Callithrix jacchus: one gene and its partners. The protein of the gene in region 5 purifies or fractionates together with the protein of the main gene of each other region. This does not show direct contact. Links are inferred from orthologs where the notes say so. Each region holds a gene or a part of one and is shown on either strand. Other genes may lie near its edges.

Region 1 (5,869 bases), on a different chromosome or scaffold from region 5:
CACAGTGTACTCAAGGAATGAAAGACATCTGGCATAGCTGGCACAGTTGGGAAAGGTCTATTCTCAGTAAAAGCTAAATAAATTGAGCTTCTATCAGCTTTGTGTCTTCCTCATAACCTATTTTCCCCTTATACCTCTTTACCCAATCTTTACAAAACCTAGATTTTCTTTCAAAATGTCTCTCAATTTCCCTCCTTCTTTTCTTTTCCTATTGCTGCCACCCTAGTCCAAGCCATCAACACGTGGCTGTCCCTGGTCTCAGCTCTCCTGCTTGGTGCTTCAAAGGCTTCCAAAACCTGGTGCCAGCTTCCTCATCTAGCTGAGTCCCAAACACTTAGGCCACACCTTCTCCAATTAGGACAGGCTCCAAATGTGATAGACATTGGCCACAATTTTCACTTCCTTCACTTCCTCTCCATCTGTAATGCTCCATTTCCTGCTCTTGATCCTAATCTAGCATATTCTTAAAGGGTCAACTCAAGTGTCCAACCTTAGGCTGCCTTTTCCAGCCCACAGTGAACTGTCCCTCTCTGACACTTGACTCCAGGACTTACCAATGCTAAAGTTTAGTATGTAATTTCCCTCTGAAAGTTCCATGTATGTTTGCTTTTCTATTTAAATAAAAGGTTACGGCCAGGTGTGGTGGTTCACACCTGTAATTCCAGCACTTTGGGAAGCTGAGGCAGGCGGATGACCTGAGGTGAGGAGTTCAAGACCAGCCTGGCCAACATGGTTAACCCCATCTCTACTAAAAATAAAAAATTAGCTGAGTGTGATGGCATGCACCTGTAGTCCCAGCTACTCAGGAGGCTGAGGCAGGAAGATCACTTGAACCCGGGAGGTGGAAGTCACAGTGAGCCAAGATCACGCCACTGTACTCCAGCCTGAGGCTCTGTCTAAAAAAAAAAAAAAAAAAAGATAGCTTCCTCCTGGACTAAGATGATGTCAATCAACCTTTTTTGGTCATAAAAAGGGCAGAGCACAAAATAAGTATGAGCCTAGAAAAGAGAAGAAAAAATGGGAACCCACTTCCATTTTCTACGAAGATCACTGAAAAGACTCTGAGACCTTCCTGCTAAAAGAAATAGACTAAGGAGTTTCATATCACATAACCTTTTTATAAAGTTCAAAAACTAAATACATTACTTCTATATATTAAATACATGTAAAAAATTAAACATATGTTTAATCATTAAATATATATATTTTTCTTTTTTCCCCCTTGATCCTAGGACTTTATTACATATTTCAAATATATATTATATAATATACATATTAAACATATTTACATATTAAATATATATTTTAAATATATATGTAAGAGTAAGGTCATGATAAATACAAAATTTAGGATAATGATTACATCTAGAGGAGAGACAAAGGGATGGGATTGGAAGGATTATAACAAGTTATGAAAGATATGGTTCTTGGGTAGGATGGTAAGTACATGGGTATTCATGTGTTTTTTTTTTTTAATGAAAATAAAATAATACAGAACAATGCATGACTACAAAAAAAAAAAAACAGTAAGATGCTGAAATTCAGTGCTCCAAGAAAGCAATCATCTTTATTAAATATTAACTATGTCTATTAAGATAGGATTTTTAAGTCCAAAACATATATATCCAAAGTAAATGTTCTTCACGAGTAGCCACCATAGGTAACTAGAAGTACCTGCATTCTAAAAAATTGCTTTCCTTTCAGAAATAGTTTACAAGACACTCTAGAAATTCAGTTTCATTACTATTATCTTCATAAAAATCTCTACTTTAAAGTACCACTATCTGAGGCTGGGCATAGTGGCTCACATCTATAATCCCAGCACTTTGGGAGGCTGAGATGGGAGGATCACTTAGCTCAGGAGTTCAAGACTAGCCTGGGAAATGAAGTGAGACCCAATTTCTACAAAAAATAAAAAGAATCAACTGGGTGTGGTGGTATATGCTTGTGGTTCCAACAACACAGGAGACTGAGATGCTTGAGACCAGGAGGTTGAGGCTGCAGTGAGCCAAGACTGCATCACTGCACTCCAGCCTGGGTGACAGAGATCCTGTCTCAAAAAAAAAAAAAACCAAAAAACAAAAAAATACATATAGTAGCAATATCTGGCTTAACAACTAGGTTAGGCTCAGAATGACTTTTGGTTGTTTCCTAAAAGCAAATCCATCCCCTACAGATGACAATAATCATAACTGAGGATGTTTAAAAGAACAAGATACAGACTCTGACGTCAATCTTCAAAATGAGAGCATCTTTGGAACGAGAGGTGGTCACTGTTTTGCTGTGAACAAGATCCCTTGCATATATCAGAGTAAGCATCATAAATATAAGACTGCAGCCTGGCTGAATACAATAACTGGAAGTAGTTTCAAAATATCAAAAGAAAGCCTACTTATCCAAACATAGGAATGTACTGTTGAAAGGAATTTTTAGGGATCCTCTAGTTGTTGCATTCAACTTGACTGTAACAGCACATTTATGATGGTTACTTTACTTTAATGTCTGCATTATGTTTAATTTTTCAAGACCATGCAATATATATTAAATATTTTAGTCTCCTAGTCTTTTTTTTTTGAGATGGAGTCTCGCTATGTCACCCAGGTTGGAGTACAGTGGCATGATCTTAGCTCAATGTAACCTCTACCTTCCCAGGTTCAAGCAATTCTCCTGTCTCAGCTTCCCAAGTAGCTGGGATTACAGGTGCCTGACACTACACCCAGCTAATTTTTGTAGTTTCAGTAGAGACAGCATTTTGCCATGTTGGCCAAGCTGGTTTTGAACTCCTGACCTCAGGTGATCCGCCTGCGTTGACCTCCCAAAGTGCTGGGATTACAGGCACAAGCCACCACTCCTGGCCTCTCACATTAATTCTACAAAGTACTATTACTATAATTGACATTCATTCTACATTTGACAGATAAAGTGAAAAAGCAAAATCACTTAGAGTTACATAGATATTTTATGGTGGAGTCAGATCCAGTATCCAAGGCCCCTGACTTTCAGCTATGTCCTTATTCTACTAATCCAAAATAAATATGAAAACTGAAACCCAAATCACCTATTTTCAATAACAATAAAGAAGGCAGACTAGTCAGAAACAAGACTTACTGCAAGCTGCAGAGCCAATTCAAATTGCTTGTCCTGGAGAAGCTGTTGGATTTGGGTTGCCATGGGGACAGGGATGAGTCTCCAAACAAAATGATTGCTAGCCACATAGATAATGTTTGATCTGGAGGTAAGAGTAAAAATATTAGCAAAAGATCACAGGTTTTGTGATGACACAGGTGACTTTACAACTTTGGGAAAATATGCAGCCATGGTAAAGAAAGAAATTCCTTACCCTCCTGAGGTAATGAAACGAGGCCTTTGCAATTCAATGCTTTGGACCAGAAGCCTTGGTTCAAATGTTCGGATCTCCACATATCGAGGCAATACTGCGATGATGTAGGGAGGCTGGTGCTCTGTGAAGGAGAACATATAAAGCAGTTGTTCTGGTCTAAGGCTTTGGGTTTATGGAGTGTTTCAGCTGCTTATTTAAGATGTATTTAAATGGATAAACAAAAAGTCCACTAGTCAAATATCAAGCCGGGATCTTACACTGTGATTCAGAAAGAAAACAAAATTGGTCTGTAATCCCAGCAACCTGGGAGGTTGAGGTGGGAAGATCGCATAAACCTGGAGTTTGAGACCAGCCTAGGCAACTTAGTGAGACATTGCCTCAACAAAAACATTTTTAAAAAAAATTAGGTGCGGTGGCACACACCTGTAGTCTCAGCTACTCAGAGGCTGAGGTGGGAAGATTCTTTAAGCCCGGAGTTTGAGGCTGCAATGAGCCACAACTGCACCACTGCACTCTAGCACGGGTGACAGAGTGAGATCCTGATTCTAAAAAAAGAAAAAAAAATATTTTGCTTGACTTATGGTAAGAGAATCTCTTGCACAAAAGAGATGCATCAGCTTTGCTGACAGTCGCCTAATCACAATCCTGCCTTATTGCCCAAATAACTGGATAAAAGTTTCACTTGCTCTTTTTTCATCAGTCACAAAGCCACGCCAGACAAAAGACAGTTGCAGCTGCCCCTACAGTGCATCAGTGGGACAAACAGGCAACAGAACCTCTTCTTTCATTCTCTTAGAAAGAGGGGGAAAAAAAAGGTAAATTCTACTTTCCCTAAAATTACTCTAAGGGAAGAGGAGTTCCACATTTCTAGACAATGTTGTTTCTGCTAGAAATTTTCACGGAGAAAAGGTGTGATGTTCCACCTGATGGCTGCTATGGTTTGATTGTTTTTGTTCCCTCTCAAACTCATACGTTGGATACTTAATCATTCCCAGTGCAAAAGTATTGGAAGGTGGGGCCTAACGGGAGCTGTTTAGGTCCTGAGGCTCCACCCTCATCTATGGATTAATGCACTATAAAAAGGGCTTATGGGAGTGAGTTCTCTCTCATCTACCATGTGAGAACAAAGAGCTTATCTTTCTCTTACCCTTCTCCTTCCATTATGTGAAGGAGCATCAAGAAGGCCCTTACCAGACACCAGATGCTGGCACCCTGATCTGGGACTTCCAAGCCTCCAAATCTGTGGGGAAACAAATTCTAGTTTTTAAAAATTACCTAGTCTGTGGTATTCTGTTATAGCTGCACAAATGAACTTTCATACTTGCTGTCAAGTCTTAAAATGGTTTTCCTCTATTATACACATCTAAAAAAAAAACCTTTCATTCATCTATCCATGACCCAGAATTTACCCTTGCTGATCCAGTACAAATTATGTGTTATACTCCTTTTCTTCATTCTTTCTCTCTCTTTTGGAAATAACTTTAAATATATCCACTATATTTTTCTGTACTTATTGACAGGCATGTGACAATCCAAAGCTTAAAATGCTGGATGAAGCAGAACAATTCCACACAGTGCTAAAGAAGTCAGTATGTAAAAAGCAGAGCTGACAAAACCATAAAATCATCACAAATCAAGTCTTCCAACATTTGAGAAGCTGTATGGTGAAGGAGATTTAACATAAACGGAAGGAATTTAGAAAATAAGCAACACAAAACACATCTTTAAAAACACAAAATCTCAGAACAAGACTGAATAAGGATCTGCTTTACCTTACAATGAATTGTAAAATAGGTTGTATCCTACATTAAACATAATTTCACTAACTCAGAGACAACAGAAATATTTTCTATGACTATATTCCATACTATATCAAGAATTAGTAAAAAAACCACAGTGAGATATCACCTTATACCCCTTTAGGATGTATACTATTTAAAAAAAGGAAGAAAGAAAGAAAAGAACATGTGTTGATGAGAATATCGAAAAATTGGAACACTTGTGCACTGTTGGTGGGACTATAAAATGGTGCAGCCGCTATGGAACCAGTATGGTGGTTCCTCAGAAAATTAAAAATAGAATCACCATATGGTCCAGGAATCCCATTTCTGGGTATACATTCAAAACAATTGAAAATCAGGACTTCAAGGAGATATTTGCACATGCATGTTCATAAGCAGCATTACACACAGTAGCCAAAAGGTAAAAGCAACCCAAGCACCCATGGACAGATGAATGGATAAACCAAATGTGGTATATCAATACAGTGGAATATTATTCAGCTTTAAAAAGGAAGGCATGGACCTTAAGGGCATTATGCTAAAGTAAATAAGGCAGTCACAGAAAGACAAATACTGTATGACTTCCCTTATATGAAGTATCCAGAAGTCAAATTCATAGAAGCAGAAAGTAGAATGGCAGCTTCAGGGGCTGGAGGGAGAACTGAGGAGTTATAAGCGGGTATAGAGTTTCCATTTTGCAACATAAAAAGATTCTGAACGTCTATTGTACAACAATGTTAACATACTT
Region 2 (5,869 bases), on a different chromosome or scaffold from region 5:
ATAATCCCAGCATTTTGGGAAGCTGAGGCGGGTGGATCACAAGGTCAAGAGATCGAGACCATCCTGGTCAACAAGGTGAAACCCCGTCTCTACTAAAAATACAAAAATTAGCTGGGCACGGTGGTGCGCGCCTGTAGTCCCAGCAACTCGGGAGGCTGAGGCAGAATTGCTTGAACCCAGGAGGCGGAGGTTGCGGTGAGCCAAGATCGTGCCATTGCACTCCAGTCTGGGTAACAACAGCGAAACTCCATCTCAAAAAATAGAATGTGGCAGGCTGGGTGTGGTGGCTCATGCCTGTAATCTCAGCACTTTAGGAGGCCGAAGCGGGCAGATCACGAGGTCAGGAGTTCAAGACCAGCCTGGCCAACATGGTAAAACCCCGTCTCTACTAAAAAATACCAAAATTAGCTGGGCATGGTGACAGATGCCTGTATTCCCAGCTACTTGGGAAGCTTAGGTAGGAGAACTGCTTGAACCTGGGAGGTGGAGGTTGCAGTGAGCCAAGATCATGCCACTGCACTCCAGTCTGGGCGACAGAGCAAGACTCTGTCTCAAAAAAAAAAAAAGAAGAAGAATGTGGCAAGGGGAAACTTGCCTCATCAGGTAGTCAAATCAAGACAGTCCTCAAGAGGGAACACAGACATCACCAGAACAGACTGCAGAGACTAGAAATAGATCCCAGCACATATGAGCATTTAGCATGGCCAGTCTATTCAGAGAGGGAAATCCCTTACATAACAGTCCACTGATTTCAAACAACTGGCTGAGCTGTCTGAGAGAAAAGGTGAGTCCCTCTTACCTGCCATAAGCCAAAATAAATTCCAGCTGAATTAGAGACAAATCAGATGTAGACATAAGAAACACAGCAATTTAAAATGAATACCCAAACAAAAAGTTATTTTTTTCCTAGTCAAAGGACTTAAAAAGACGACAGAGTTGGTAAAGTCACTTGAAATGTAAGTAGAGTTAACTTCAATTCACCAACAGTTCATCAGAACTGAGAGATGCCCAACTGTGTGCTGTGTGCTATGTGCTCGCTGTGTGTAGCAGAGAAAATCCAAATGGCTAAGCCCCAGGGACAGGGACTCAGAGGGACTCAGCCACGATGGTGGCTATTTACTCACCCAAAGGTTGGCAATGTCAGCAGAGTGACAGGTGACACCTATTGCTTGCTGGCAAGGAGGTAGGAGAAAGCAAGCCCACACTGCTGAAATGTTACTCCACCTGGGGAAAACAACCTGGCACCCTAACTTACAATAAAACCCATCTTCCAATCTAAAAATTTAACTCCTTAGAGGCTAGCTCTAAAAATAAAAGCATTATTATAAGACAACAGGGACAGAAGTGATGGAGGAGAAAAACTCTGATGCCAGGCAACAGGGAAACAGGTGGGAAGCACTTTCTCACATGTATTTGGATTTCCATTCCTTTATATGAACATTAAGAAAAACATAACAGTTTATTATATGGGGGTTAGAGTAGCCAAGTCTGCATCTTGGTCTGCTCCTTACAACTTGAGGGCTCTCCTGGCATTCTGGGTGGAACAATTTCCTCACTGGGTAGAGGTCTGTCCCTTTTATTCTGGAACACTTAGTGCAGACCCCACCTATGCCAGAATTTCCCTGGTCCTTGCAGCAACCATTCCAAACAACTCTCTGCCCTACCGAAAGCCATTACCTCCATGCAGCCAGCTTCCTGGAGTCAGCAGAATCTGCCTTGCCCTTCACAGCCACCACACGCTTCAAGTGTTCTCTATATTCCCCCAAATCCACCATACCTCTGACCACCCCTAGATACTGTCTGATGATGCCTCGTGACCTGCCTTAACTCAACACTGCCCCTAACACAGTTGTACATCAAAACAGACTTTCAACTCACATGAGTGGTTATATCTAATCACAGAAACAGTAAATCAGAAATTCTATATACTGTAGCCCTTGAATAGTTTTCCTGTGTTTTCTTCCTTGTGTTGTTTACTTAACTGTTCCTAGGGAAAAAAGTTACCTGTCAGTATGTGAGAGCTGAAAGAGTCTGTCCCATTTAATCTCCATAATCACTCTGCAAAAGCAGGTATTCCCATTTTTCAGGTGAGGGGGTAGAAGTTCATATATATATATATATATATTTTTTTTTTTTGAGACAGAGTCTTGCTGTCACCCAGGCTGGAGTGCAGTGGTGATCTTGGCTCACTGCAATCTCCACTGCCTGGGTTGAAACAATTCTCCTGCCTCAGCCTCCCAAGTAGCTGGGATTCCTGGTGCCTGCCACCAGGCCTGGCTAATTTTTTGGATTTTTTAGTGGAAATGGGGTTTCACCATGTTGGCCAGGCTGCTCTTGAACTCCTGACCTGAAGTTATCTGCCCACCTCAGCCTCCAAAGGGCTGGGATTACAGGTGTGAGCCATCGCACCCAGCCATAATATTTTTTTTTTTAAGCCCAAACTAGATATAATGATTGGTAGGGAGCAGAGCTGGGATTCGTATTCAAGTTTACTTCCTCCTTAAATAGAAGCAGCAATCTGATAGGGGTCTCCCAGTGACCTGCTCTCCCAATTGCATGAAAAGAAAACAAGAAAAAGCCTAGTAAAAAAAGGGCAGCCTCAGTCTTCATGGCCTCTGCCTCTTTTAGATTATTCCCCACAAAGTGGGATTTCTGGAAGCTTAAGCAGAACATGTCATAACCTTCCCAGATGACCACATAGGGTTTTCTGGCTATATAGAAAAGAGTAGGCTAGGGAAGAAGATTAAGGACAGGAGGCCAGGCATGAGCTGGGTCAGTGGTCAGGCATCACCAGAGGGGCTGATCAGCTGTGGGAGACCCACCTGTTTAAGTGCATTCCGTGCAATTGTCTGGAACGCCTGCTCCACGTTGATGGCCTCCTTGGCACTGGTCTCAAAGTAGGGAATGTTGTTTTTGCTGTAGCACCAGGCCTGTGCCCGCTTTGTGGCCACCTGAAAGAAGCAGGGTGCACACAGGCTCATGACAGAAGCCGCCAGCAGTGACTCCATCCTCCCCAGGAAGTGTCATGGCCCCTTGTCTATAGGTGGTACAGGTGAGGACAAAGACTTAGAGAAAGAGGGTATTGGAGGAGATCTGCAGACCCATCCAAACTCGCCCTGCTGGCTATGTTCAGGATAGCTAGGATTCAGCAAGACAGCTCAAAGCCTGTCTCGGTCTATAGCCCATACCTTCTGACGCTCCTTTCACAAACCTTAAAAGCCATTTGTGAATGGAGTAAGAAGCCAGTCCAGGAAGAAATGAAGAGTGTTTACTGGGACCTCAGAGATCCCAGAACAGGAATTGCTCAGCAGCTTGGTCTTAAGATGTATAGTCCCTTCCCCATTACTGCTAGTGTGATGTCACCCATGCCACTCACACGTTCTCATTCCTTCCCCAACCCCTAGCCCAATTTCAGCCAAGAGATAAGGACTAAGTCACTTAGGAAGGGGAGAAAAAGAGATCCATGGTCAGAAATAAACCTTGTTGTAATTAATCAAAGAGTCTATGTTTCCAACAGAAATGATATTTGAAAGTACAGTACAGCAATTTCACTCAAAGCCCAAAGCAATATTCTGCACACACAGAGATCCAGGCATGGCCTGGAGGTGCTGGGAGGCGACTACTAAGAATAACAAAATCGAATTCCCTCTTTCAAAGTTCAGAAAGGGAACTGAAGCTCAGAGAGCCAAGAAAATGGTCCAAAGTCACAGCCAGTTGGGGGCAGCATGGGGACTTAATTAACCCAGGTGAGTGGGTCCTGGTCCTTAAAGGCCGCTGGCCTGAAGGGCTCGAATAGGGTAAAAAGACTTCCACCAGCACCTCCTACAGACCTGTGAGCTTAGCAGGGAACTCTCCAAATTCACAAGGCCCCTGGGGAGCAGGTGAGTGTGACAATGCCTATCATCATTGGTACTTACTTGTCTGTTTTCGAGGTCAATCTTGTTTCCCAACACAACGAAGGGGAAATTTTCAGGATCTCGGGGACTGGCCTGGATGAGAAACTCATCTCTCCAGCTATCTAGGGTTTTGAATGTGTTGGGGGCAGTCACGTCAAATACCAGAACGCAGCAGTCCGCACCTCTGTAGAAGGCCACACCAAGAGACTGGAACCGTTCCTGTCCTGCTGTGTCCCATATCTGTGAGAGACAAAACATTTATTCCTTGGGAGAATGCTGGCAGAGCACCATGAGTGTGTATGCCGAGGTGCCAGAGGAAATGGGCTAGATTGTGGAGTCACCCACAAAGACAAGTGACACCAGACATCAGGAAGCAAATTTCAGCACCAGAGTATCCAAAACAATCCTCACAAATAGTATATGTGAGTATGTGTCTATGAACGGGTGACACTGAGTCCAACCTCCAGGGTACTAGAAATTTCCTATATCTTGATCCAAGTAGTGGTCACATGTAGGTGGTGTATAAAAGTTGAGCTATAAACGTTAAGACTTAAGTACTCTGGGAACTTTCTGAGTGCAATGGAAATACAGGGAGGTGAGGTGATTACTCACGAATGATACAGTTCAATCCATGTATTTTACTGTATGACAAGTTTGCCTAAACAATATAAAAGATTAGTATGTTTTATTTCATTTATATTATACTTCAATTAAAAAACTAAACAAATGAAAAACTGTGACAGAAAGAGACCAAGAGAAAGACAATGAGAACACACACCAGAGTAACAATTAAACCAGGTACTACTGAGCAGCTCCAAGCTGGCCACATCATTCATGGCCATGCTAGGTTTAAGACCAAGGCTGGGTATCCTCACTGCCCTAGATCCGTAACAGGTACGCAAACAGAGCTGGACAAATATGATGACAACTCAAATATAAGTATGAAGAGCAAAAAAGACAAATTTATCTCTAATGATTCCACTGCCTCTCAGCAGGTTAGGGCATTAAATGCTCTTCTCCCTTCCCCAGATACAATAAACAAAGTCCACACATGTAGACTAAACAGATTCGGGGCTGCTGGTGATACTCATCTCTGTGCTCTCCTCGTTCTTCAATGTTCTACACTGAATATGTATGCATCACTGAAAGTGGAGAAATGACCCCATTCTTAAACAAACACAAACAAACAAACAAAAGGACACTTGGCATCCTCCCACACAGGAATGAGTTCTAGTCATCTGCATGGAGGGGTTTTCTGGAGCTGAAATCCTACACTGCTTATGTGACACTCTCCACATTCTCCCACGCCCCTCCCCTCTACCCATCACACACCAGGGCACTCTGGCAACAGCAGATGGTGTGACATGGGAGAGCAGGTTCACTGGACTTTACTGCTGCCTAACATAATTAGTGAACCACCCATTCCTATTTTTAAGAAAATATTGCTGTCAATTTCCTATAATTATAAACAACTCAGCAATTAACATTAGCATAGGGAGCTTTTTCTGTATTTTTCTTTTCTTTTTTTTTTTGAGACGGAATTTCGCTGTTGTTACCCAGACTGGAGTGCAATGGCACGATTTTGGCTCACTGCAACCTCTGTCTCCTGGGTTCAAACAATTCTCCTGCCTCAGCCTCTCGAGTGGCTGGGACTACAGGCGTGCATCACCAGGCCCAGCTAATTTTTGTATTTTTAGTAGAGACGGGGTTTCACCTTGTTGACCAGGATGGTCTTGATCTCTTGACCTCGTGATCCACCCGCCTCAGCCTCCCAAAGTGCTGGGATTATAGGTGTGAGCCACTGCACCCGGCCTTTTCTGTATTTCAAATGGCTTCCTTCAGATAGACTCCTACAAGCAGAATTACGTAAGAACTCTGCTACCTTTAGGTGGAATCATCATCCGGAACTCAGATACACAAAGGCAAAGTAAAACAACAAAAAGAAAAGTCAACAAGTTGAGGGGTTCCTAGAA
Region 3 (5,869 bases), on a different chromosome or scaffold from region 5:
TTGCAGTGAGCCAAGATCATGCCACTGCACTCCAGCCTGGCGACAGAGTGAGACTCCATTTCAAATAATAAATAGAATGACACCTGACTTATGCACACCTCCTGGGGCCTCTCTCAGTGTCCTACTAATACCTAAGAAAACCCAGCAAAGGGTGGAAATTCACACTGTGCCCCACAGACTGGGTATGAAAGATTAAAGGTCACCTGCCCCTGCTGTGTACCCACTTAAAAGCAGGGGAGGGGTCGGGTGCAGTGGCTCAAGCCTGTAATCCCAGCACTTTGGGAGGCCGAGGCGGGTGGATCACGAGGTCAAGAGATCGACACCATCCTGGTCAACATGGTGAAACCCCGTCTCTACTTAAAATACAAAAAATTAGTTAGGCATGGTGGCACATGCCTGTAGTCCCAGCCCCTCAGGAGGCTGAGGCAAGAGAATTGCCTGGACCCAGGAGGCGGAGATTGCGGTGAGCCGAGATCGCGCCATTGCACTCCAGCCTGGGTAACAAGAGCAAAACTCTGTCTCAAGAAAAAAAAAAAAAAAAAAAGCAGGGGAGGATCTTGGTCCCCATTTTGCCTCCACTTCTGAAATACAACATTGGTACCAGCCAGAAATCGGCAACATCCCTTCACTGTGTGCTTTTGACTTCTGAGGCTGCTAAAGCATTGTGATGTTTCTTGTCATTCACCAGGCAGGAAGTGGGGGGAAGTAGTAAAAAGCCTACAGAGGAATAAGAAAAATGTGTGAAGAAACAAAGGCTACAATGCTGGGATGAAGAATAAGAAAAGGAATCTTGTGACAGAATATGAGTATCAGTGGTCATTTTTCAATTGTCAGAGCTCCAAGGAGTCACCAAATTTGAAGTTTATATAGTCAGTTAATACCCCACACAGACACACACACACACACACATTCATAGCACTGTGCTCAATGGTTTGGATTGGATTTGGAAAGTAAAAGACAGATTGCTGCCTGATTTAGGATAGAGATTACATCTGTTTAGTTTATTATCTGTACCTAGTACCCCGTATGTGGTAGAGACCCAGTACTTATTTGTACAGTAAATAGATGAATTTATGAAATAAATGGATGATCTGGGTAAAGATATGGAGAATGGAATGAACACATGATGTAGGAGCCAAACTCTGCCTGAGAGAATCTGTTTAAGGAATCCCTCTAAAGTAACAATATGGCTAGTTAATATAGGGCCTTTTTTGTCAGACTTCGAAATTTAATTTTAATTATACAAATGCTACAGGGCCAGTGTATGGTTGGAAGAAATGATGCACAGGGTAATGAGTGGACCCTGGCTGGCCAGGTCAGCCTAGTAGTAGTGGTTTGGCGGGAATAGGGTACTGAGAGCAAGAGAACCAGTGAGTGTCCCTTTAGAGTGTTTCAAGCATGGCAGCTTTTGGAATCCCCTGTAGAGTGTCCCTTCACTTCTCAGATTTGAGTGTATTTAAGGTGGCTTTTCTTTTAAAATGTGTGCATTAGATTCTGCTTCGTGAAGGCTGCAAGAAGATTCTCGTAGCTGACTCTTTGTCCTTACTGAAGAAAATGCACCGAACTCAAATGAAAGGCGTGCTTGTTGATGGTGGGTAAAATTGAAATAATCACATAGAACTGCAGACCCTGCTTTCAGAAATGGCCGAGCGGACATAAACAGGGTATAATTCAAAGTGTGTGTGTTTTCTTACAGAGGAGAACATCTGTGAATCATGCCTTTCTCCTATTCTTCCATCAGGTAAGAAGGTTTCCCCAAAAAATGTCCCAAATATGTGTTTGAATGATGAGTGGAGTCAAAATTTTGGAATTAGCCAACTGCTGTTTATAAAAGTATATAATTTCAGAATGACCCAGTGGAGGGAAGTGTGGCTCACATCCCGCTCAGTGGAATGCAGGTGTAGCCATTGCTTAGAGCTGAGTTTCTCAAGCTCTAGGGTCAGTCAGCGTCACCTGGCAGGCTTGTTGGAACCCAGATCGCTGGCCCAGTCAGGCTCCCTAGAGACTCTGGTTCCAGACTTCCAAGGCAGGATTTGAGAATGTACATTTCTGACAAGTTCCCAGGTAATGTTGATGCCACTGGTTCAGGGGCCATTGTTTTAGAACTGCTAGTCTAGGGTAAAACAAAATGAAAACTAGCCATCAGCATTTAAATTTCAAGGTAGAAGAACCACGTATGTGTCTGGGGAAAAAGTATTTACAGGTAGCATTCCCTTTTCTTTAATCTTTTTCTCTGCTATTGGTTCTACATGCCCAAGTCATCTCACATTTCAATAGAAACAATATATATATATATATATCTCCATCTGTAATGAAAAGCCTCTTAAGGTTTATTATGACATAAGAAATTTGCCTAATTCAAAAGCAGAAATTCACAAAGCATCATTTTCAGGATGCTAACAAGTGCTTTTGAAATAGAAATTCAGCATAACAAAATATTAAAAGACTTAGGTGGCCTCATGTTTACTTAGCATTAAAGGATTATTTCATGGGGCAGTGCATGAGAAGTTGTTCTATTAGGTTCTTTGCTAGAGGAAATAGATTTGGATTTTTGAGTGCTTCTCTTAAAAACTTCAGTGAGCTCAGGTGAAGAAGTGAGCTTCCATAGCATTTCAGCCAGTGTTTCAGCAAAAATGAACCGCATGCATTCCCACTCTACAGTTAGATTAAATTCCAACTGTAATCTGCTGATGACCCGAAATCTTACCAAAAATAAGCTGGCCACACAGAGCAGGAACAGATGAGGAGATCTCCCCAAGCAGAAGTACAGTAAAATGCAAGGTCACAGCCTGGGCTTTTAAGCCAGGTCTGCCTCTGAAGTGGTGTGTGGTCTTGGCAAAGGCAGCAGGTGGACTGGGAAAGCATTTTAATGAAGCCACAGACTCAACTTCAGCTGTGGTGTGTAATGACTACAGGGGTTAGGGGCGCACAGACACATACACATGCTGGTTTTCAAGATAAAGGTTACTGCAGTTGTCCTCAGTGTAGTCTTGGTAACTGACACAGAAGCTAAGCAAGTAACCTGTGAATCAAGGAGCAACACGATTGTAATACCTGTTTTGTGTTTGATCAAAGCACCCCTCAGGAATGCCTTTGTAAATAAGCCACTCTCTAAAGGCGGCTTACTGCTGGAAAGTTAACTGCAGCTGGACTCTCAGTCAGGATTGGTTTAAAATGATCTTGCTTGTTGCATTGAGTTCTCCTCCTTTATCTGCCTTCCTCACCAGATGCAGCTAAGCCCTTCAGCGTGGTCGTCTTCCATTGCCGGCATATGTTCCACAAGGAGTGCCTGCCCATGCCCAGCATGGTAAGTTGGCAGCTTGGCACCTATCAACTATAGGGAAATTAACACAATTAGAGGAATGTGCTCAAAACTATAACGCATCATTCTTATGGCTCCATGAGTTAAAAAAAATTATAGATTCATATCACATAACAAATTAATCTAGTTTTCAAATGCAAAAATATTTAGAAAGGCTTTGTATACTATAGTAAACAGAAAAGCGTACCCATTTGAAGGAATGTATTCAAGCCAAATGAGCAGCTGTGGGGCTGTTAATTTGGTGATGAGCAACAACAGGAGAGAGCCATCCTCTATGTGATGTGTTTCTCAGCCGGATTCGTGTTCCATGAGGCTATCATGTTTTTAGTGTCATGTTCCCCCAGGTCATGTTAGACTTACTCTGCTGTTGAGTGTCCTTTGAGTTATAGACTCACAGCTGATCTAGGCTGAATCTTACATTAACTGGAAATAAACTCCAGAGAAAGGAGTGGCATTTCATTACTTCCTCTCTACCCCCTGACTAATGCTACCCTAGTATTTCCGAATATGAGAGCAGAAAAAGGAGATCATTTTTTAAATCTGTGTTTTTAAATTGCATTTTTAGAACTCTGCTGCACAGTTCTGCAACATCTGCACTGCTAAGAACCGTGGACCAGGAAGTGCAATTTTGGAGATGAAAACGTAGCTCGTTTCTGCTTCACAGTCTCCTCGTCATCGCTCTTTTTGAGACTGTTTCCGCAACAGCACAAGCATTTGTTGACACTCATGCTGTTAAAAGATTTGTTTATGTTTAGATTATGCTCAAAAACAGTTTCTTTATCCCTGTACTAGTGGCTTCTCTGCATTGACAAAGGATTTGGGGTTCTCCCATGCTTTGAAATTTTGGGGTCCATAGTCAATATTTTATTATTTATTTGTTTGGCTCATTGTTTATATAGTAATGGAAACATAAGTCTAGGAGTTAGAACTGACTTTTTTAGACCTTAGAAAAACCATTTAACCATAAGATGAACTACTGAGAATTGTCCCAGCTGCCTGAAAGCGTCACCAACTGAGGTTATACTGCAAGCTACTACCTACACCTTGGACCTGTTTCCCTGTGCTCTGCCAGCCACCATTCTTGCATTCTGGGTTTGACTTTTTTCTATGTCATCAACTATGGTTATCCTCTAAATAGGCATTTAACGAAACATTGTACAAATTGTCACTCATTCGGTGACATCTGGGAATACTATTAGCAGGCTGATGTCCTGCACCTTTATGTGTACTAATCACCTGTTCTGTGTGCCCTGACAACTGGCAGAGTATCTGGCCATGGCAAACACTCAACATTTGTTGATTGAATAAATGTTAGCTCTTCTCATTGTGAAGGACTCACTTTTACTGGGATGAACAGATGCAGTTAAGAATTCTGGCACCCTTGTAAGGAAGAGAAGAGAGTTCAGCGCCTTTGAGTCTGAGCACTTGTGACTAGGGTTTGCCAGGAGGGAGGAAATCAGTGACCCTGTGAAAACTGAGGGTGTCTCAGGAACAGTGGACCGCCTGATACTGAAGGATGGGCTAATGATGTTTCCTCTTGCCTCCTCTGAAGCCTCCATTAGTTGTATTCCTAGGTATTTTATTCTCTTTGTAGCAATTGTGAATAGCAGTTCATTCTTGATTTGGCTCTCTTTAAGTCTGTTATTGGTGTATAGGAATGCTTGTGATTTTTGCACACTGATTTTGTATCCCGAGACTTTGCTGAAGTTGCTTATCAGTTTCAGGAGATTTTGGGCCGAGACAATGGGGTCTTCTAAATATGCAATCATGTCGTCTGCAAATAGAGACAATTTGACTTCCTCTTTTCCTATTTGAATATGCTTTATGTCTTTTTCTTGCCTGATTGCTCTGGCTAGAACTTCCAGTACTATATTGAATAGGAGTGGTGAGAGAGGGCATCCTTGTCTAGTGCCGGATTTCAAAGGGAACGCTTCCAGTTCTTGCCCATTCAGTACGATATTGGCTGTGGGTTTGTTGTAAATAGCTTTTATTATTCTGAGATACGTTCCGTCAATAGTTTATTGAGAGTTTTTAGCATAAAGCGCTGTTGAATTTTGTCAAAGGCCTTCTCTGCGTCTATTGAGATAATCATGTGGTTTTTGTCTTTGGTTCTGTTTATGTGGTGAATTATGTTTATAGACTTCTGTATGTTGAACCAGCCTTGCCCTCAGAGAACAAAGCACATCACAGAGGAAGAAAAGTCAAACTCGTGATCGTGTCTTACAGTTATTGGCTTCATCCGTCTTGGGATGCATGGCCATCCTCTAATGAGTGTAAAAGTGCGCAAAACTCATCCTCATTGTTCCTCCTCTCTTAGTCCTATAAATGGGAAGAAATATAGCTTTCCCCTTCTGTCTTTTTTGGGGAGACCAGCCCAATTTAAAATATAGGTGCTAGTGAGTACTGACAGCATGCCAGCTCCGGAAGTCGCCCAGCCATTCCCATGAGCAGCAGTTCATTTTATTGTCACAGCATCACCAGGAAGAAGATCTGATAGGCCTTGGTTTACAGATGAAGAAATAAAAATGTAGAGATGTTGTCGAGGTC
Region 4 (5,869 bases), on a different chromosome or scaffold from region 5:
TCACGCCTGGCTAATTTTTGTATTTTTAGTAGAGACAGGGTTTCACCATGTTGGCCAGGCTGGTCTCAAACCCCTGACCTCAAGTGATCTACCTGTTTCGCCCTCCAAAAGTGCTGAGATTACAGGCATAAGCCTCTGTGCCTGGCCCATGAAGTATTTTTTAAAAAGATGCTGTCCCTCTTGGCAAATTAATAATTTAAAAATATACTTACCTGGAGAATCTCTCTTTTGTAATAATCCAAAACTTTTTGTTTGAGCCCACTATTACACACGGATTGCAGGCAAACTAGTCTCAACACCTTGATCAATGAGTGCTTTTGGGCAATACAATCCTCAATGTAATTGTTGACCTAGAAATAAAGTAGCATACATATACATATATATACACACACACACGTACGTACGTGTACACACATACACACACGTACGTACGTGTACACACACACACACACACACACACTATCCGGTTTGGGAACTTAAAAGAACTTGATGTTTACTATTATTTTTCAAAGTCCAATAAAGGAGATATGTGGGAAAATGAGTTATTTTTTCACAATCCCTAACCCCTCTGAAATAGCTCTCCTAGCCCCAGCCACATGCACACCTGGGCTAGCATGCAGGTGCACACACACACACACACACACACACCCTACAAGTGATTAGGCCAAGTCACCGGAGCCCAAGGCCACAGAGAATACAGCTGGTTACTCCAAATGTCTGTCTGGACCCACCTGCCTCTACGCTCCTGAGAGGCTACCAGACACCTAGTCCGTTTCAATAATATCCACAATTTATCTAGCAGAAAGTACCAGTAATTGTTTAATGTTAGGAATTTTCATAAAGTTAATGATTTAAAATTTGTTAACAGAGTTAAATATTTAAAGGAATTATGTAAGAAACTCTCTCAAAAGAGCAAATATCTTAATTTAAAAATATTTGATTTCAGGGCTAGGTCTCATCTTGCCAGGTATGGCAGAAAGAGTCTTGCACAGAATAATGGTAAATATCTGTTACATGATAAAATCTACACTTGCACATTTTGTATTTGTTTTTAAAAATATTTAGGCAGCTGGGCACAGAGGCTCACGCCTGTAATCCCAGCACTTTGGAAGGCCGAGATGGGCAGATCACCTGAAGTCAGGAGTTTGAGACCAGCCTGGCCAAAACGGTAAAACCCCGTCTCTACTAAAAATACAAAAATTTGCTTATACCCATTACTGGAGATAGTTAAAAAAAAAAAAAAAAAAAAAAAAAAAAAAATTAGCCAGGCGGGGTGGCACATGCCTGTAATCCCAGCTACTCGGGAGGCTGAGGCAGGAGAATCACTTGACCCCGGGAGGCAGAGGTTGCAGTGAGCCGAGATTGTGCCACTGCACTCCAGCCTGGGCAACAGAGTGAGACTCTGTCACACAAAAAAAAATTTAGGCAAGGCATGGGAATCAAAGCAGTTGCTTTTCTGGCTATAATTTGATGTTTACTAAGCTTTTAACTACTTGTTAAAGAGGTTTTTTTTGTCCACATACCTTATCGGTGTCTATTCCAGACATAAACTCCTGTTCCACGGTTAATTTATCAAAGAAGTCTTCAGAAGCTAAAATGAATTAATTAGCAAATTTGCAACTTAGAAATTAAATGTTAACTTACTGGAGTGGCATGCTTTTATACACAGAGCATGGTTCAGAAACTAGACAGGTGGGGCATGGTAGCTCAAACCTGTAATCTCAGAACTTTGGGAGTCTGAGGTGGGTGGATCACTTCAGGCCAGGAGTTCAAGACCAGCCTGACCAACATGGCCAAATCCCATCTCTACCAAAAATACAAAAATTAGCCAGCTGTGGTGGTGCACACCTGTAATCCCAGCTACTCGGGAGGCTGAGGCGAGAATCACTTGAACCTGGGAGGCAGAGGTTACAGTGAGCTAAGATCATGCCACTGCATTCTAGCCTGGGCAACAGAGCAAGACACTGTCTCAAAAGAAAGAAAGAAAAAAGGAAAGAAACCAGACATCATGCAAAAAAAGCAAGCAAGCAATAAGTTCAAGTCATCATCTGAAGAAAATCTTCTAGGAAACATGAAAAACCCTAGGCCTCGGTACTCCTAAGTTACATTGAGATAGAGTTGACAACGGCCCTCCTTTGTACCCTTAGGATTTCAGTACAGACCCCAGAATGAGCGTCAGTATCAATAAAAGCTAATTCCTCAAGAGCATTTCATTTTCATCATTAGGTTCAACCCAATTTCAACTGGTTTCCACTTCTACTAACAGGAAAACAAAGGACTGACTTTCCAACACTGTTTTAGTTAAGATTCAAAAGTATACTTCATGAAACAACCTCTTACTCAGCTTTTACAGCCCTGTGTTGTAATGAACAAACTCATGTCTGCTTTAATAGACATTTTCTGAGCTCTTCAAAATACTCAACATATACTCTCTGTACCAATTCTGAATAGAGTATTCAAGGAAAGAACAACAACAACAAAAAATCACCCTTTGCCAAGTAAGTAATCCTTCAAAAAGGAAAAAAGCAGCCAAGCGCCGTGTTTCACGCCTATAATCCCAGCAATTTGGAAGGCTGAGGCAGGCGGATCACCTGAGGTCAGGAATTCAAGACCAACCTGACCAACATGGTGAAATCCCATCTAGACCAAAAATACAAAATTAGCTGGGCATGGTGGCACATGCCTGTAATCCCAGCTACTTGGGAGGCTGAGGCAGGAGAATCGCTTGAACCCAGGAGGCGGAGGTTGCGGTGAGCCGAGATGGCATCACTGCACTCCAGCCTGGGCAACAAGAGTGAAACTCTTTCTCAAAATAAAAAAGTAAAAGGAAAAAGCTATATTTTAAAAATTAACCATCTCAAATTATGATGTCAAACTTAAAATATTTTTCTCTTCTCTACATTCCAAATATTTTTCATATAAATGATAATGAAAAAAATTCAGTTAACAAATGGAACATTCTTTTTTTTTTTTTGAAATGGAGTCTCACTTACCCAGGCTGGAGTGCAGTGATGTAATCTCAGCTCACTGCAACCTCCACCTCCTGGGTTCAAGTGATTCTCATGTCTCAGACTCCTGAGTAGCTGAGACTACAGGCATGTGCCACATGCCCAGCTAATTTTTATATTTTTGGTAGAGATGTGGTTTCACCATGTTGCCCAGGCTGGTCTTCAAGTCCTGGACTCAAGTGATCTGCCCGCCTCAGCCTCCCAAAATGCTGGGATTACAGGCGTGAGCCACCATGCCCAGTCAACAAATGAAACATCCTTTTTTTGTTTGTTTGTTGTTTTCTTGAGATGGAGTCTCACTCTGTTGCCCAGGCTGGAGTGCAGTGGCGTGATCTCAGCTCACTGCAACCTCTGCCTCCAGGGTTCAAGCGATTCTCCTGCCTCAGCCTCCCTGGTAGCTGGGACTATAGACACGCATCACCACGCCTGGCTAATTTTTGTATTTGTAGTAGAGACAGGGTTTCACCATGTTGGCCACGGTGGTCTCAAACTCCTGACCTCAGGTGATCTACGCACCTCAGCCTCCCAAAGTGCTGGGATTACAGGTGTGAGCCACCGTGCCCAGCCTGGAATTCTTAACTGTTAACATATGTACACTTAGTTAACACAGGGAATAACACATGGTATTAAGGCAGAGCTGACTCCAAGGAGGCGTCGTGGTGTTGATGACCCAGGTGTAAAACGCTGTGCGTGCTAGAGCCCCAGATGGAAACCACCTTTACAAAGGATACTCACTAGTGACATCTTTGATCAATTCTGCAATTGAGGTATGGTTTGCCAGCGAGCCCCTTGCTGCCTGCATGTGCGGCAGCTGGGAAACAAACTGCTTGATCTCCCCCACGGTCTTTGCATTGTGTCTTTCCTGAAAGAAACAAGACAGCAGTGCCTCAGGCAGGGAAGATGGTTTATTTATGTATTTATTTATTTTATTTATGTTTTTGAGAGGGAGTCTTGCTCTGTCACCCAGGCTGGAGTGCAGTGGTGCTATCTTGGCTCACTGGAACCTCTCCCTCCAGGATTCAAGTGATTCTCCTGCCTCAGCCTCCTGAGTAGCTGGGATTACAGGTGCCTGCTACCATGCCCAGCTAATTGTTGTACTTTTAGTAGAGATGGGGTTTTGCTGTATTGATCAGGCTGGTCTCAAACTCCTGACCTCAAGTGATCCACCCACCTTGGCCTCCCAAAGAGTTAGAATTACAGGTGTGAGCCCCCACGCCCGGCTGATATTTTATTTTTAAGTGCTCTGTTTTTTGTATTGTTCAGAGGATATTTCATTTATATTACTATAAAAGGCAGAATGGACAACAAATAAATCGGGCCAAACACAGCTCCAACATTATACAGAAAAACAGAAAAGTACATGTCACTGAAATATAGAGCTCATGGTGCCTGTCTCCCGAATTAGCACTTCTTTAGAGAAGCAGATGCCTCAGCGTCTGTCTTCCAGTGTACCAGCTCACACACTATGTCAGTGTTTTGTGGGCATCTAGGTATTGGTGAAAGACAGTATTACATAGATCATCAAATTTCTGAGTAAAAAACTAAGACAAAAAATGTTTAGAGGGTACCATAAAGAGGAAAAGTTTCCTATGTAACAGAAAAAAAAAAACAACACCATTTTTTTCTGTTGAACCTCAGTCTTGTCTTTGATTTTGAGACAGGGTCTCTCTCTGTTGGCGAGGCTGGAGTGCAGTGGCACCATCACAGCTCATTGCAGCCTCCAACTCCTAGGCTCCCACCTCAGCCTCCTGAGTCGCTGGGATTACAGGCACATGCCACTGTGTCCAGCTAGTTAAAAAAAATAAAAGAAGCTGTTGTTTTGTAGAGACGGTGTCTTGCTGTGTTGCCCAGGCTGGTCTAGAACTTCTGGGCTCAAGCAATCCTCCTGCCTCAGCCTCTGAAAGTGCTGAGATGACAGGCGGGAGTCACTGTGCCTGGCCTGAACCTTAGTCTTGAGTATAGTCTATGAACAAAGCGAACCTAGCTTGGTGATGATATTTTTTAGCAAAATGTAATAACTTAAACCAAAAGTAACTTCAGAAATATGAAAATCAATTAATGAATATAATTCCTAAGAAAGATAAAATCTGGAATTACATGGCCAAGTTCCAAGCCAGCCTGGAAAACACAGGGAGACCCCGTCTCTACAAAAACAATACCAAAACCCAAAAAACTTAGCCGGGCACGATGGCATGTTCCTATGGTCCCAGCTACTTGGGAGAGTGACGTGGAACGATTGCTTGAGCCTGGGAGGTAGCAGCTGTAGTAGGCTGTGATTGTACCACTGCCTCCATCCTGGGTGACAGAGTGAGACCCTGTCTCAAAAAAAAAATCTGGAACTACATACTCAATGAAAAATTCATTCTCAAAAACTTCCAATTTATGTTTCTAAAGTATAAATATTCAGAGTTTACCATCTTGTTGAATTCCCATGTTTCAAAAAGGAGCCTGAGCAAAAATAAGCAAGTGAATGGGCAAGAGGAGGCAGAAAGGTGATAATTAAGCCAATTTAAAAGCCCTGGGTTGCTGGGGATTTCAGTCTCATTATCACTCACCACACGTGCTGGGGTCCCCTGCCACAGTCACGCTGGCTAAACTTGAGTTTGCAGCATGAACCACAAGTTCTATTAGAGAGGAATTTTTATTTATAGTATAGATGGCTTCTCTTAATTGAGGGAGGAAATAATTTAAGATGATAAAGCAAATGTTAATGATGGCAGTCTGTAAACTGCACACACGTGTGCCTCCACCTACCCCCACACAAAACGAGCTTGACACCAAATGGGCGTGAGAAAGTTTAAAATGAAAGAAAACCCTGGATCTTCCAATATGGAATTTGTAGTTACTGAAGATGAGAAAAG
Region 5 (5,869 bases):
TCTGTGAGCTGCCCCCCAAGCGCCTGAGTCAGAACTTGCCACTCTTGGCTTGAGGAGTTGTGTAGCATCCGAATGGATCCAACTGTCCAAACCAGCCATTCCCTGATTACAAAGCAGGTATGCAGTAAATTTTCTTGGTATCTCCAGCAAGTGCTTGGCCCAAAGTCCAAGCAGTTGAGGGTATAAATCAGGTTAGTGGCACTTAACAAAACAGCAGGGCTGGTCACACCACTGGGTGACTCAGTTCCTCTGTGTACACAGCTACTTAGTGTGGCCCAGCCAACTCCCTTGCTTCTGCTCTTCCATGTTCAGGCACAGAAAGCCAGGGAAGACTTGAAATACTGGAGAAAAGGAATTAGAATCCACTCCCACAAGCCCATTCACCCCAGCCACTCCCCGCAACCCTGTCTCCCAGCAGCTTCAGATTCAAAAGAGAACAACAAAGGGATGGGGCAGGGCCTGGCTGCCTGGGGTTGCAGGGGCCTGCGCAGAAGTGAGCCACAGAGGCAGCCAGTAAGGACCCTGAGACCCGCTCACCAGGCCTCCCTCATCTCAGACCTGAAAGCAGGGCTTAGAAACCCTACATACTGGGACAGCTAGATACCCACATGCAAAATAATAACACCCCTTCCTCACACCTTACACAAAAACTAACTCAAAATGGATCAGAAACCTAAATATAAGAACTAAACCTCACAGCTCTTGGCGGAAAACACAGAAGTAAATCTTTGTGATACTAGCGTAGGCAATGGCTTTTTAAGATACAACACCAGAATCACAACACCAAAAATAGACTTCAACAAAAACTGGACATCATCAAAATTAACAACTTATGTACTCCAGAGGACACCATCAGAAAAGTGAAAGCACATCACAGAATGGGAGAAAATATTTGCAAATCATAAATCTGGTAAGGGTCTCGTATTCAGAATACATAAAGCACCTTACAACTTAGATTAGTTCCTAGGGCCAGCATAACAAAGTACCATATATGGGATGATACATTGTTTAAATTTTAACAATACACATTGCTGACCGGGTAGCTCATACCTGTGATCTTAGCACTGCGGGAGGATCACTTGAGTCCAGGGGTTCAAGACTAGCCTGGCAATATGGTGAAACCCATCTCTACCAAAAATATAAAATACTGGCTAGGCATGCCGGTGCATGCCTGTAGTCTCAGCTACTCAGTGGGGCTGAAGTGGGAGGATTGCTTGAGCCTGGGCAGTCAAGGCTGCAATGAGCTCTGATTGCACCACTATACTCCAGCCTGGGCAAAGGGCAAGACCCTGCCTCAAAACAAAATAAAACAGGTCAGGTGCCATGGCTCACACCTGTAATCCCAACACTTTGGAGGCCAAGGCAGGTGGATCACCTGAGGTCAGGAGTTCAAGACCAGCCTGGGCAACATGGTGAAACCGTGTCTCAACTAAAAATACAAAAATTAGCCGGGCTTGGTGGTGCGCTCCTGTAATCCCAGCTACTCAGGAGGCCAAGGCAGGAGAATTGCTTGAACCTGGGAGGTGGAGGTTGCAGTGAGCCGAGACTGCACCATTGCACTCCATCCTGGGTGACTGAGCAAGATTCTGTCTCAAAACCTAAACAAAACAAAACTAATATTTATTCTCTGATAGTTCTGGCGGCTCCTTCTGGAGAGTCTAAGGAAGAATCTGTTCTCACCTTTCTCCTGGGTTTTGGTGTTGCAGGCGCTTGTTTGCATTCCTTGGCTTGTAGGCATGTCACTCTGGTCTTCTCTCTCCACTGTCACACGTGGTCTTCCTCCCTGTCTCTGTCTTCACTTGGTGTTCTCCTCTCTTTGTGTGTCTTTTCTCTTCCTCTTACAAAGACACCAGTCATACTTAATGAAGAGCCCGTTCCACTCCAGCGTGACCTCATCTTAACTAATGACTTCTGCAAAGACTGTTTCCAAACAGGTCACATTCTGAGATACTGGGGGTAGGATTTCAACATGTCCTTATGGGGGGGGGGCACAATTCAACCCACAACACAACTCAGCGACAAAAAGACAGCCCCATTTTAAGACAGACAATAGATTTGAGTAGATTTGAATGGATTTGAATAGATTTCTAAAGGAGAGAAATTGGAACCCTCATACATTGCTGGTGGGAATATAAAATGGTGCAGCCTCTTTGGAAAACAGCTTGGCAATTCCTCAAGAAGGGAAACATAGAGTTACACATGACCCAGCAAGTCTACTCCTAAGTATATACCCAAGACAGTGAAACATATGGCCACACAAAAACTTCTGTATAAGTGATTGTAGCAGCACTATTAATAACAGACAAAAAGGAGAAAAAACCCAACGTCCATCAGCTGATGAGTGAATAAGCCAAATGTGGTGGATCGAGACAATGGAATATTATTTGGCAATAAAAAGGAATGAACACTTATACATGCTTATATAACATGGATGCACCTTCTTTCTCTTCCACTAAGAGAAAGAAGCCAGGCACAAAAGGTCACGTGTCATATGGTTCCATCCCTGTGAGACGTCCAGAACAGGCAGATCTACAGGGACCGACAGTAGATGAGTGGTTGCCTAGAGCTGGGAGCGGCCGGGGGAGATGACAACAGCTAATGGGTATGGGGTTTCCTTTTGGGGTGAGGAAAATTTGCTCAACTTAGATGGTAGCAATGATTGCACAACTCTGTGACTAAGCCAAAACGCTTGAATTGGACACTTTATTTATTTATTTTTAGAGATGCGGTCTCATTCTGTTGCCCCGGCTGTAAGCACTGGAGGGCAGTGGCACAATCACAGCTCACTGCAGCCTGGACCTCCCGGGCTCAAGCAATTCTCCCACCTCAGCTTCCTCAGTAGCTGAGACTACAGGTGTACCATCACGCCCCGCTAGCTATTTTCTGTAGAGATGGGTATTCACTATGTTGCCCAGGCTGGTATCAAACTCCTGGGCTCAGTTGATCCTCCCACCTTGGCCTCCCAAAAGCTGGGGTTACAGGTGTGAGCCAGCATGCCTGGCCAAATTATATACTTTAAGTGGGTTAATTTTAGGATATATGAGCCATATCTAAATAAAGACTAAAAAAAATTTTTTTAGGCTGGTCACAGTGGCTCACACCTGTAATCTCAGCACTTTGGGAGGCCAAGGCAGGTGGCTCACCTGAGATCAGGAGTTTGAGACCAGCCTGGCCAACATGGTGAAACCCCTTCTCTACTAAAAATACAAAAATTAGCTGGGCATGGTGGCAGGTGCCTATAATCCCAGCTACTCGGGAGGCTGAGGCAGGAGCATTGCTTGAACCCTAAAGGCAGAAGTTGCAGTGAGCCATGATTGCACTCCAGCCTGGGCAACAGAGCGAGACTCTGTCTCAAAAAAACAAAACAAATTTTTAAACAAACAACTTCTTTTCCAACAGAAAAACAAGAGCTGGATCTCGGAAGATGACTTCTACCGGCCTTCCCAGGAGCAGCCCCTGGAGAGTGCTTCAGACCACCCCATAGCTTCTTCCAGGGGGACTCGAGAGTCAAGGCCTGGTCTCCACAGGCATTTTTCTCAAGGACCAAGAAAAAGCTGTTCCCTGGGGGCATTAGACCAAGTGTGTGTGCCTTCCCCAGGAGGCAGGCAAACCAAGGCAGCCCCAGCACAGGGCCATAAGAGCTTCCGGGTGGTTCACCGCAGGCAGATAGGTAGGTGACCAGGAGGGTCCTGGGTGGGGCCCATCGGCAGGGACCAGGCCTTTCAGAAGGCAGCTGTGAAGTCCTGTTTTCCATTGCCAAAGGAGCAGTGTGTTCCACAGTATTATAAAACTTCATTGTAGAATGTTGTCATAATCGTGCTCAGTCATTCAGGGAAGCATTTCAGGAAAAGTACTATATTGTCTCAAAACTGCCTGCATGGATAAAAATATTGTTTCATCTGTCAAATAGGAAAATATTTTCCCTGAAAGCTACTCTGTGCAATTTATGATTATAGAGAACTCTTGATTCCACCTGTAGCTCAGAGTAAATCTGGCCCCATGAAGCCCCAGGTGTTTTAAATGGGCCTTCCAAAGGTCTTTACTCTCAGTAGTTGGTTTATGTAACAGCTCTGGGGGGTTTGATCAGATCTGCTATTTGTTTTGTTTGTTTGTTTCTTTGTTTTGAGATGGAATCTCCCTTTGTTGGCCAGGCTGGAGTGCAGTAGCACAGTCTTGGCCCACTGCAACCTCACCCTCCTGGGTTCAAGGGATTTTCCTGTCTCAGCCTCCTGAGCAGCTGGGATTAGAGGTGCCCACCACAATGCCTGGCTAATTTTTGTATTTTTGGTAGACACAGGGTTTTGCTGTGTTGGCCAGGCTATCTGCTATTTGCTTAATGTCCTCCAGTGCTTCCTTTTTTTTTTTTTTTTTTTTTTTGAGACAGAGTCTTGCTCCTTCACCCAGGTTGGAGTACAGTGGTATGATCTCAACTCACCGCAGCCTCCACGTCCCAGCTCAAGTGCCTCAGCCTCCCCAGGAGCTGGGATTATAGAAGTACACTGCCACACCCAGCTGATTTTTGTATTTCCAGTAGAGATAGGGTTTTGTCATGTTGGCCAGGCTGGTCTTGAACTCTTGGCCTCATGTGATCCACCCACCTTGGCCTTCCAAAGTGCTGGGATTACAGGTGTGAGCCGCTGCACCCAGCCTCTCCACTGCTTTTACAGCAAGGCCAGCTTGATCTCCACACACTGTGAAATTTCAGTAAGCCTTAAATAGCCATAACCAAATTGTTCTGTAACCCTCATGATGGGTTTCCTCTTCAATACAAACAAACAAAAAACGTACGCTCCAGAATCTGTCTCTCTCTCTCACTTTCTGTTTGCAGTGACTGGGCAGAGAATCCTGCCCAGCTTAGGGGGTCCTGGCATGGGTAGTCCTGGTGTGGGTCACGTGGGTAGAACACAATCTCTGGCTGGCTTCTGTTTTGTCTGTCAGCCTATGTGATGGCTGTATTCTCTAACCTGCCAACGAAGCTGTACTTCAGGTCTAGGCCATCAAGTTTCCTGAAGGATGGGAAACCCCTGTACAATAGTGTGAAATCTCAAAGCCTGTTCCAAACTGGCGGAGTGAGAATTGTATGTCCTTTGGACACCTTGGTTGTTGTCACACCCCAGGGAGCAGGGAGCTTTGGGCAGCCTGGGATACATAGGCACTCACCCACTCATTCATTCAGCAAATATTATTGAGCCTCTGTGCTATGCCAGGCACTGTTCTAGGTGCTGGGGACATAGCAGGAAGCAAAGCAATGTCCCTCTCTTCATGGGATTTAGATTCTATTAGGGGAGATGGGAAATAAAATTAACCAGTAAGCATAGTGTGTGTTCAGGTGGTAATAAGTGCTATGGAGGACAGTAAATCTCTCCCTCTCTGCGGAGGTAGAGTGGACCATTGCATATAAGATAGCCAGAGAAGCCCTCACCAATAAGGGGAGGTTTGAGGAGACTCGAGGGGAGGGAGGGAAGGAGGCATGAGTATGAACGTGTTTCAGGCAAGGAGAACAAATGCAAAGACCCTGCACCAGGGCTGCACTTGACTTGTCCAGGGACAGTGGAGACCAGAGTGGCAGAAGAGAGGAGATGGGAGCGGGGTGGCGAGCGATGAGGTCAACCTGATGAGGTCTGTGGGCCACCTGAAGCACTTTGGCTTCTGCCAAGGGAGATGGCAGCCACTGTGGAGTTTTGGGGCAGAGAGACATGCTCTAACTTCCCTTTAAACAGGTCATCGTGGCTCCTATGTTGAGGGACTATGGGAGAGGAGAGGAGGTTGACATCACGAGCCAGGCCAGAGATGACAGTGAGTGGGGTGTGGTTGGGAAAGGCGGGGATTCCAGATGTGTGTGGAAGGCAGAGCCAACAGGATTTGCTGA

What was found.
Region 1: the proteins of PLEKHM1 (region 5) and VPS39 purify together in Homo sapiens (co-immunoprecipitation; 3 studies listed by BioGRID and IntAct, with this or other methods). This does not show direct contact. The link is inferred for Callithrix jacchus from reciprocal best matches to the Homo sapiens genes PLEKHM1 and VPS39.
Region 2: the proteins of PLEKHM1 (region 5) and RAB7A purify together in Homo sapiens (affinity purification with western blotting; 5 studies listed by BioGRID and IntAct, with this or other methods). This does not show direct contact. The link is inferred for Callithrix jacchus from reciprocal best matches to the Homo sapiens genes PLEKHM1 and RAB7A.
Region 3: the proteins of PLEKHM1 (region 5) and VPS41 purify together in Homo sapiens (affinity purification with western blotting; 4 studies listed by BioGRID and IntAct, with this or other methods). This does not show direct contact. The link is inferred for Callithrix jacchus from reciprocal best matches to the Homo sapiens genes PLEKHM1 and VPS41.
Region 4: the proteins of PLEKHM1 (region 5) and VPS33A purify together in Homo sapiens (affinity purification with western blotting; 3 studies listed by BioGRID and IntAct, with this or other methods). This does not show direct contact. The link is inferred for Callithrix jacchus from reciprocal best matches to the Homo sapiens genes PLEKHM1 and VPS33A.

What each region holds. Positions count from the first base shown.
Region 1 is NC_133509.1:29,783,471-29,789,339, forward strand, and holds part of VPS39 (vam6/Vps39-like protein), read right to left. Parts: intron 3,462-5,869; coding exon 3,341-3,461; intron 3,230-3,340; coding exon 3,109-3,229; intron 1-3,108. UniProt on the Homo sapiens protein: Regulator of TGF-beta/activin signaling, inhibiting SMAD3- and activating SMAD2-dependent transcription.
Region 2 is NC_133516.1:73,345,254-73,351,122, forward strand, and holds part of RAB7A (ras-related protein Rab-7a), read right to left. Parts: intron 4,137-5,869; coding exon 3,918-4,136; intron 2,952-3,917; coding exon 2,823-2,951; intron 1-2,822.
Region 3 is NC_133512.1:7,207,707-7,213,575, reverse strand, and holds the end of VPS41 (vacuolar protein sorting-associated protein 41 homolog), read left to right. Parts: intron 1-1,491; coding exon 1,492-1,591; intron 1,592-1,696; coding exon 1,697-1,741; intron 1,742-3,227; coding exon 3,228-3,307; intron 3,308-3,887; coding exon 3,888-3,968; 3' UTR 3,969-4,649; downstream 4,650-5,869. UniProt on the Homo sapiens protein: Plays a role in vesicle-mediated protein trafficking to lysosomal compartments including the endocytic membrane transport and autophagic pathways. Acts as a component of the HOPS endosomal tethering complex.
Region 4 is NC_133510.1:125,449,227-125,455,095, forward strand, and holds part of VPS33A (vacuolar protein sorting-associated protein 33A), read right to left. Parts: intron 3,871-5,869; coding exon 3,744-3,870; intron 1,592-3,743; coding exon 1,524-1,591; intron 351-1,523; coding exon 213-350; intron 1-212.
Region 5 is NC_133506.1:85,836,817-85,842,685, reverse strand, and holds part of PLEKHM1 (pleckstrin homology domain-containing family M member 1), read left to right. Parts: intron 1-3,399; coding exon 3,400-3,670; intron 3,671-5,869. UniProt on the Homo sapiens protein: Acts as a multivalent adapter protein that regulates Rab7-dependent and HOPS complex-dependent fusion events in the endolysosomal system and couples autophagic and the endocytic trafficking pathways.